Neodiprion lecontei: one gene and its partner. The main gene of each other region encodes a partner of the protein of the gene in region 2 in a complex. Links are inferred from orthologs where the notes say so. Each region holds a gene or a part of one and is shown on either strand. Other genes may lie near its edges.

What was found.
Region 1: 60S ribosomal protein L6 (region 2) and 60S ribosomal protein L27 share a complex: the UniProt entries of both Caenorhabditis elegans proteins name them as parts of the large ribosomal subunit. The link is inferred for Neodiprion lecontei from reciprocal best matches to the Caenorhabditis elegans genes rpl-6 and rpl-27.

What each region holds. Positions count from the first base shown.
Region 1 is NC_060264.1:8,653,496-8,657,426, reverse strand, and holds 60S ribosomal protein L27, read right to left. Parts: upstream 2,987-3,931; 5' UTR 2,860-2,986; intron 2,423-2,859; 5' UTR 2,414-2,422; coding exon 2,195-2,413; intron 333-2,194; coding exon 196-332; intron 107-195; coding exon 58-106; 3' UTR 18-57; downstream 1-17. Other genes in the region: uncharacterized protein LOC107219125, read left to right, coding at 3,818-3,872. UniProt on the Caenorhabditis elegans protein: Component of the large ribosomal subunit.
Region 2 is NC_060262.1:33,930,593-33,934,523, reverse strand, and holds 60S ribosomal protein L6, read right to left. Parts: upstream 2,445-3,931; 5' UTR 2,430-2,444; coding exon 2,421-2,429; intron 2,186-2,420; coding exon 2,000-2,185; intron 1,265-1,999; coding exon 991-1,264; intron 659-990; coding exon 309-658; 3' UTR 231-308; downstream 1-230. Other genes in the region: two pore calcium channel protein 1, read left to right, coding at 3,539-3,644. UniProt on the Caenorhabditis elegans protein: Component of the large ribosomal subunit.

The DNA of each region.
Region 1 (3,931 bases), on a different chromosome or scaffold from region 2:
AAAAATTAGAGTTGAACTTATTTTTACACGTTTTTATTGACCCCGATATAAAAGCATTTAGAATCGCAATTTCTGGAAAAACCACTTGTTCTTGCCGGATTTGTACCTATAAAAAGCAAAGATTCAATAAATATGACAAGTCAAAAATTACCGTCAAATACAGATGTCTAAATCTACAAAATCCAGTACTCTTACCTCTCCTCAAACTTTACACGGGTCTGGAATCGGACCTTCTTGCGTTTCATGGGGTCCTTCAGGTCCTTGATTTGTGCCTTATCCAATGCTAGATCCACGGTGTACCGTGTTGGCATCAAGTGGTTATAATTCAACATCTGACAACAGAAAACCAAACAATGTAAAATAGGTGGCGTAACGATTTCTTTTGAAGAAATTTTTTTATGAAACTGTTTTCATTCCAATCACAAATCTGTGGTAACTTATTTATTAATTGATTCATTTAAAACTCACGAATTGCAGGATAAATTTACGAATTACAGATATTTGGAACAATGTAATAAAGTGTTTTATTATCAAACGACTGAAGCCTTCATTTTGTATTGGACTATAGCGAATGAACTGTGAGTAAACAACAAGGAGAAGAGAAACTCATTATCAAGGCTGGTAGTAGACAACTTCTTACATAAATATGAAATCAGACACAGTAGCAGTTTGTGACATGAGCGTAACGAGAAATTAAAAACCAATCACCTACTTTGCAATATTAAACTAACTTATAGGGGTTACAGATGCAGACCAGGTAAGCTTTGCTTCATTAAAATCATAATTGACTGTTCACCACATTTCTAAAAATACGGAAATTATGTGTAAAGACAGAAAAAACAAATAAATGTTATGTGTTGACTACATCAACTTTAACCCTTATGAGGCACAGTAGGGTTAAAATGACCCAAGTTCCATATGAAAAACATCCAAAATAATCTGATTTGATTCAAGATAAATAATGAAATATCGTAAGAAATGTTAATTCATTTTTTTCCCCAATAATTCAACTTTACTCACTCAAATAAATACCTATTATTCATCGAGCACTATCTCCATATTTTTTTTCTCAGATATCTGTACCTTGAAAGTCACTCAGTTAATTAATTTCAAGCACTAAATATTGAAAATTCATTTTATGATTTTTTGATTAGAATGATCCCGTTTTTGGTATTTTGTGGTCTATACATTTTTTTTTCATAACCAAAATTTCGTATTGCTGAGGACAACTAATTTGCCTTCAAATATAACAGTTAAAGAACAACCCAAAATGTTTTCAAGTTATTCGAATCGATATCTGTTTTCATGCAATGATTTTGTATCTGGGGTCTCTAGCGACTTTAGCGTGACACCAGTGTTATACACAGGTTGTGTGCAACGTAATGGTTAACATAATGAAAACAGTGAGCCGTTGATTGGGAAAATGAACTCATTAGGCCTACTTCGAATTCATTGAAAATAAAAAAAAAAAAATACTACTCCTTCATTTTTTTTAGACCATATTGATCTGTTTATAAATCATTTTACCAACTGTGGTACCAAGAATTATCAAGCTTCCTGACAAGATGACCATTTGGATTGGAAAAATTCATCTGCCAATATAGATTTTATTATGACCTTACTTATTCTTTCAACCTGATTTATAAGAAAAACTCACGTCTTATATTAAGCTCAACAAACGTGGCTTAAGCCCTTTGTAACATAGTGAGGAAATTTGGATATTATTGTTTTCCATTTTACTGTTACACAGTACAAAGTACCTATTAGGTATTGATTTATTTAACCTCTTTCTGTTTGCACATTAATATCAAGTCAACTAATAAGCTGAACGATAAATCCAACATTTGGAACGGTTTAGGGGCCTTTTCATCAATAGACTTTGGTTTATTGATTTCAACAAGATAACAAGATATTTTAGTTAAACAGCGACTAAAATTGTACTTTCCAACCATATTGATTCAAAATTTAATTATTTAGAATGTTTGAAGGGAAATTCAAGTTTACGGAGTAGAAACCCTGGAAGTTAAAGATACTCATATTGTACTTTTGGTGGGAAGCGTGGTATATAAATAGACTCAGGCTTCAGAACACACTTTAAAACCTCAATAAAAAAAAATTTCTTCAAGTGGCCATTTTACACAAGTTCAAAATGACTGTATAGCTATGAATACGAGTTTAACATTGTCAAACTAACCTTCACGAAGGGCTTTATCTTGGAACGTTTATGTAGTTTTCCTTTGCCCATACGCTTGTGTACCTTGCGAGGGTATCGATCGATGCCAGCAACCCAGGCATGGCCGTATTGTTTATCTGACGTACCGTCGTCAAAATTTCGCATTACTATAGCTTTGCGTCCAGCGTACCGGCCACTAAGGACCAGTACAACCTTCCCTACTTTCATAATCTTCACCATCTTGGTTTCCTGTAAAGGAAAAGAAAAGGGTTAAAACATTTTTGTTCGCTATCAATCTAATCTTTATTGTGGTTACTGGTGTTTGTTATTCAATGTTAAATTAACAATTTGGTGAAAGTTTCAAAATCATAGTAATGCATCGTGTAAAGTAACGTGCTGACAGTAGGTAGCTGTATACATTCCGGAATGTCCGACATAACCTGTAAGTGCAAGTGTGTGAAACGAAAGTTTGGTAATGCAACGGATCGTTGAATTTAGATTTGACGATGTTATTCAATGAGATTTGTTATTTAAACGCAGGTGAGTAAATGAAAAATCTTCCGTGTCTGAGGAATCATACGAATAAACAAACGTGTATGTGGCATAGGAGGTGCTGCCGAGATTCACAATTATTAACGAATAACACTTGCACGGTAAAAAACGAATTCTTAGCTCATAAAACGCACAATAATGTTACGATTTCCGAGGTAATTAATGCGCAGTCTTATTACTTCAGAAAATGCCGATGTTCGTAGATTATTTTAACCATTACACGAGAACAGAACTTACGGTGTCTCCGCAAACCGGAAAAAAGAACTTGTCGTAGCTACCAACTGTGGTTAGGACTCGATATTCGAATACCTCGCGTTGAGCCTACTTCCGGCGATGTCTAATCGCGGGACTCTTGACTTTTCACAAAAATTAAACGTGATTTACACAGATAGAATAACGATATAACACAATGCCTATGCATTAAAATAATCAAAATTATATAATTTACTCTCGTTTTACCAATTTATCAATCCGTTTACTCATGCATATGACCGAAGACGTCGTTGACTGAAGATATACGTTGGAGATATCAGACGTGTCATGTGTGATCGCTATTATCGCCAAGCGCAATATACCTACAAAGAAAATAGTTTGAGCATAACTGTCTCGATTTTCAGTGAAAATTGAAACGATGGAAGACTCGTGAATTCAATATTTGACGCTGAATATATATTCTCTCACGTATATTGCGTACATCTTTCGCATTGGATATTTTCGAAATTATACCAAGTGTTACCAACCTTACCTTGCAAATATTAAAGATCCCTACAATTCAGATGCCTTTCAGAAGGCCAACTGCCAACAATGTCGAGTGCCGGTGACTAATAGCTTGTGAGACACCGGCGATATTGGTTTACGACGATTAACCTATCATAACAAATAGCACTGTAGTTACTTGGTAATTGAAAATAATTCAACTGATCAATGGAAAATTTGACAGGGTGTTTAGGAAAGTTAGCCGTGATTTGCGAAGTTCTCATCTAGTTTTGTAAGTGCCGATAAACCACAAATAAGAAGGGAGAAGAAAAAAACTATCCCACAAAGGAATACAGAGGATAAAAACATTCTAAAAATTGAAAATTATGTTCAAACATGAGTGAAATCGCACTTGAGTTATCAGACATTCAAGAATTGAATGACCATGAAGGTAGAAACTGATTGTTATCATTGTATCAGAATGTAATCAATATATCAACAAATAGATTG
Region 2 (3,931 bases):
GAAATATTTTTTTATTTTTCACGAATGTAAACTAATACATATTCGGATAATTGTATTAAAACATGATCCAATTTAATTTTACTGTATTTAACACAAACCTTGTGTTCCAACTTGGGGAATTCCACGATTCTTCCGACCATTTTACGATCGCTGGTCACACTGATCCACAAACTGCGGATTTCAGGAATATCAAATAAAGAAACTATCTGCAAATAAATGCTCCAAGCCTATGACAAGTTTTTAATTTTTTATTATTCCACATGTACAACACTGCGGTGACATACACATAAATGATGTATCAAATGGATTTAAAATTTCATTCTGTGGGGATATTGGCTGCTTCGAAGACCGAACATCGCTGACAAATAAGTGAAGAGCAATTTTTTGTCCTGGTGTTTCTTGATGGCTCCAATAATTAGTGTATCCACAGTTTTCTGGTCGATCTTTCTCTGTTCAGAAGGTTTGTAGTCTACTTTCTTTGTGCTGAAGATATCTCCCTCTTCTTTCTTGGCACGCTTGTTCTGGGTCCTTTTGTAATATTCGTCCTTTCCTACTTCTTTGGGTAGTTTCACACCAGAAAGGTCGATCTTTGTCGATGTAGCTATCACGTAATTCTGGCTAACACGACGTAAAGGACAAGCGTTGATTAGGAATGGACCTGTAAAATGTTAATCGTGTGACAATTTATTCACAAAATGATAATGGCAATAAAATACTAACAGAAAAGATAAAACTAACTCTGTTTACTTCAAAGTAGTTCTAAATATATGAACTAAGACAACTTTACTGCACACTTTTTTGAACACTATAAATGTCTGAAACTGCGTCATCTGTCGTTTCAATCGTATGTGTTAAAATACACACAAAACACTAAGGCCTTATTTTTCTGAAAAAATAGAGGAACTATTTTCTACTGCAATACATAATGTTTATTCGAATGAATTCAATTCTTCTGCACTTGTGAGGAGCACATATGGAACGCCCACTTACCAGTTACTAACAAAAGACCACTACGAAGCTGCTTCAAGAAAACAACTCGCTTTCCCTTGTGGGGCCCAGCCAACAAAATCAGGATTGTACCAGGAGTGATGGTGGGTCTGAGTCTGCGAACATGTTCACGGAAAGTTTTCTTTGCATGGTGAACAGTGACTGGATCAGCAGTAGGGTAGTTCTTCCTCCTCTTCTTAAGCAGAACTAATCTGGTACCTCCATTTTTATCACCACCAATCTTCTTTTCAATGGTCACAGGCTTCTTGGGCTTTACCTACAATGCAGGTGATTAGTTTACATTGGTGGTTTAGCAAAATTTCATTACAAAATCAAATTATAAATTGGGCCGATTAATTGCCTTAAATCAAAGAACATCCGATAAACCATTATTTTGATTGAAAAATTGTTACAATATCGGATTACAACAGTGTGAGAGAAAAATGATGTTTAAGCAATGCTAAAAATATACAAAGTTTCTAGAGAACTTTCTCACAGTTAAGCTGGGTTACTAAAACCAATGTTAATAAAGATTTAGAAAATTATGCGTTAATGCTTGTACGACTCTTGGCAATTAAATGTTGCGACTTCACACCCACTTTGTTTAGATAAACAACAAATCGGTTGGTAATTTCATCGCTTTAATTTCCCTTTCATTAAATTATGGAGCTATAATGTGCAAGAACCACCTTGGATTAGAAGGGATTATTACCTATAATATTGGTCAGATCAAATTATTTTTTTATGAGTTTTTAACTGATACCAGCATCAACTTTCATAATATTCAGTATCAATATGAAGAATTATTTGGAAAAATTACAAGACTCAAGTTTTTAAAATTTCTTTGAGTGATAGAATTTGCTATTGTTTAATTTTCAAAAAATATTAAAAAAAATTTTTAGCAAATTGATAATCTGACGCAAGTTTTACCTGGAATACTACAATATGGAAAAAACCTAAGTGATGGCTTTTTCTACATTGTACATTTACTAAATTTCAAACATTAACTTACAGTTTTCTCGGTCTTCTTGCCAATGAACTTGTAAAGAGCTTTTTTGTGATACATTCGAGTTCGGCTGAACCTGTAGACTCCATTTCCTAAATCACGATTTCTTGGTTTGCCACGGACCTTGCGTCCATCCTTTTTGGCCTCAGTAGCCGCAGGTTTGGCCGGAGCCTTCGCTTTAGTATCCACCATCTGTAATAAAATTATGACTCAATCAGAACTGAAACACTTTAAAAACCCAAAAGTAAAATAGTCGTAAAAGTGCAGTAGGATATGAAAAGTTTCCTGTATGGTCTAATGGATCTTGATTCAGTAATGAAAACACATCACAGAACTGTTCAGTTGAATTGTAATGACACGTTAGGCGATGCACACTGTAATCTAGGGGAGAGGTTATGTTTAGTTAAAATTAAGACAAATGCATTAACTCATTCATCTCAGAGATTGGAGATCACAGTTTTTATATAGACTCTTGGATACAAGATATCACGTACGAAATTGATGATATGTATATAAAAATATCGAAACAAAGAATAAACAGCATTTAACGTGAGGAGCTAGACGTATCGACGTCCGTGTCGACATGCCATATAAACATTTTAACTGTTGATGCAAAAAATGTGACGAGTTATAGAAATATTAGGCGCAAATTGAAGTAGGCGAATTAAACTGATGTTATTTGATATAACTCCCAAACCAGTACGACCAAGAACGTTAGATTATTTGGATTCTCTGAAGAAAATTACGGCGGCTGATACTTACGTCGAAGCCAGCGGATGGTTGAAAGAGCCTCCATCTGCCGAACGAGGCTGGAAATAACCACTTAGGGCACACGTTTCCGGTCTAAGCGCAACGCGCGTTTTCTGCCGATTTTAAAAATTATTACACATATTCCATGCCAAACCCAACATATAGCTGCATACTTGGCATCAATGAAGCCTTTTACTGTCTTAACATTGCTACTTATAGTGGCTAGATATTTGCAACAAACGTTTGTACATTTTCGTGTTGCAATAGAATTAATAAATGTTCCAAAACGTAACTTTCAGCGTTAACTGACTGTCAGTTCTGATTCAAGCAATGTGAGTTACTTTCCTACGCCTTAGCGTGGTTTTCAATTTGGTAAAAACACTGTTAAATTAAAAATCTTCATTGCGGTGCTATTCAATTGCTGAACCAGTATGGACCAACATTTTCAGCTTGGACTTTACTCTGATCGGAGCCATGATCGGAGATAACGCAGAAGGCGAACCAATCCCGAAGCCTTTTTAAGCGGAATGCCCGAAGTCCGCTGATGTGAAGTCAGCCCCGGCTACGGGGGGATATCACGATAACGGCCGAATCTCCGTTGTCTGGCTTCGGGTTAAAAAATTCTCGGATTAGTCATCTGCAACATATCCGCGAGAAAACCACTCGTCGTCAGTCGCGTCGCAACTCTGAAACAGCGTAGGCAGGAGTCAGGTTTGCGGTGACTCGCGAGCGCGCAGCCACTCGAGAGAATCTCGTTACCCGTGCGGCTGTCAGGAGTCGAGGCTGCCAACGAAGATGCCCTCGTCCCCGAGAAGTCCTGGATCTGCGGACGGATACCAGCGTTTCGACGATGAGCCAAACGTCACTTTACGTTTAGAGGGTTCCTACGGAGCGAGTCCAAGTAAGCAGTTGCTTTAATTCCTCCGTTACGCGGGACGTGAAAACGAAAAGAAACTTTTACATTGGATTAAATTGGCAATTTGCTCCAAAAGATATTTATTATACATACTCGAACATGATGCAGTAGTGAATGATTTAGTTTCTTCAATTACTCTTTTCTAAATCTCCACCTCGAACCGGATCTAAACTTGTGATCTCGGTTTTCATCTCATTCCAAAGATATGACTTAATTATGTGAAAAGTACAAAATTTTTTTCACATCTATTAGCTGTTCAATAAGTACTCTAA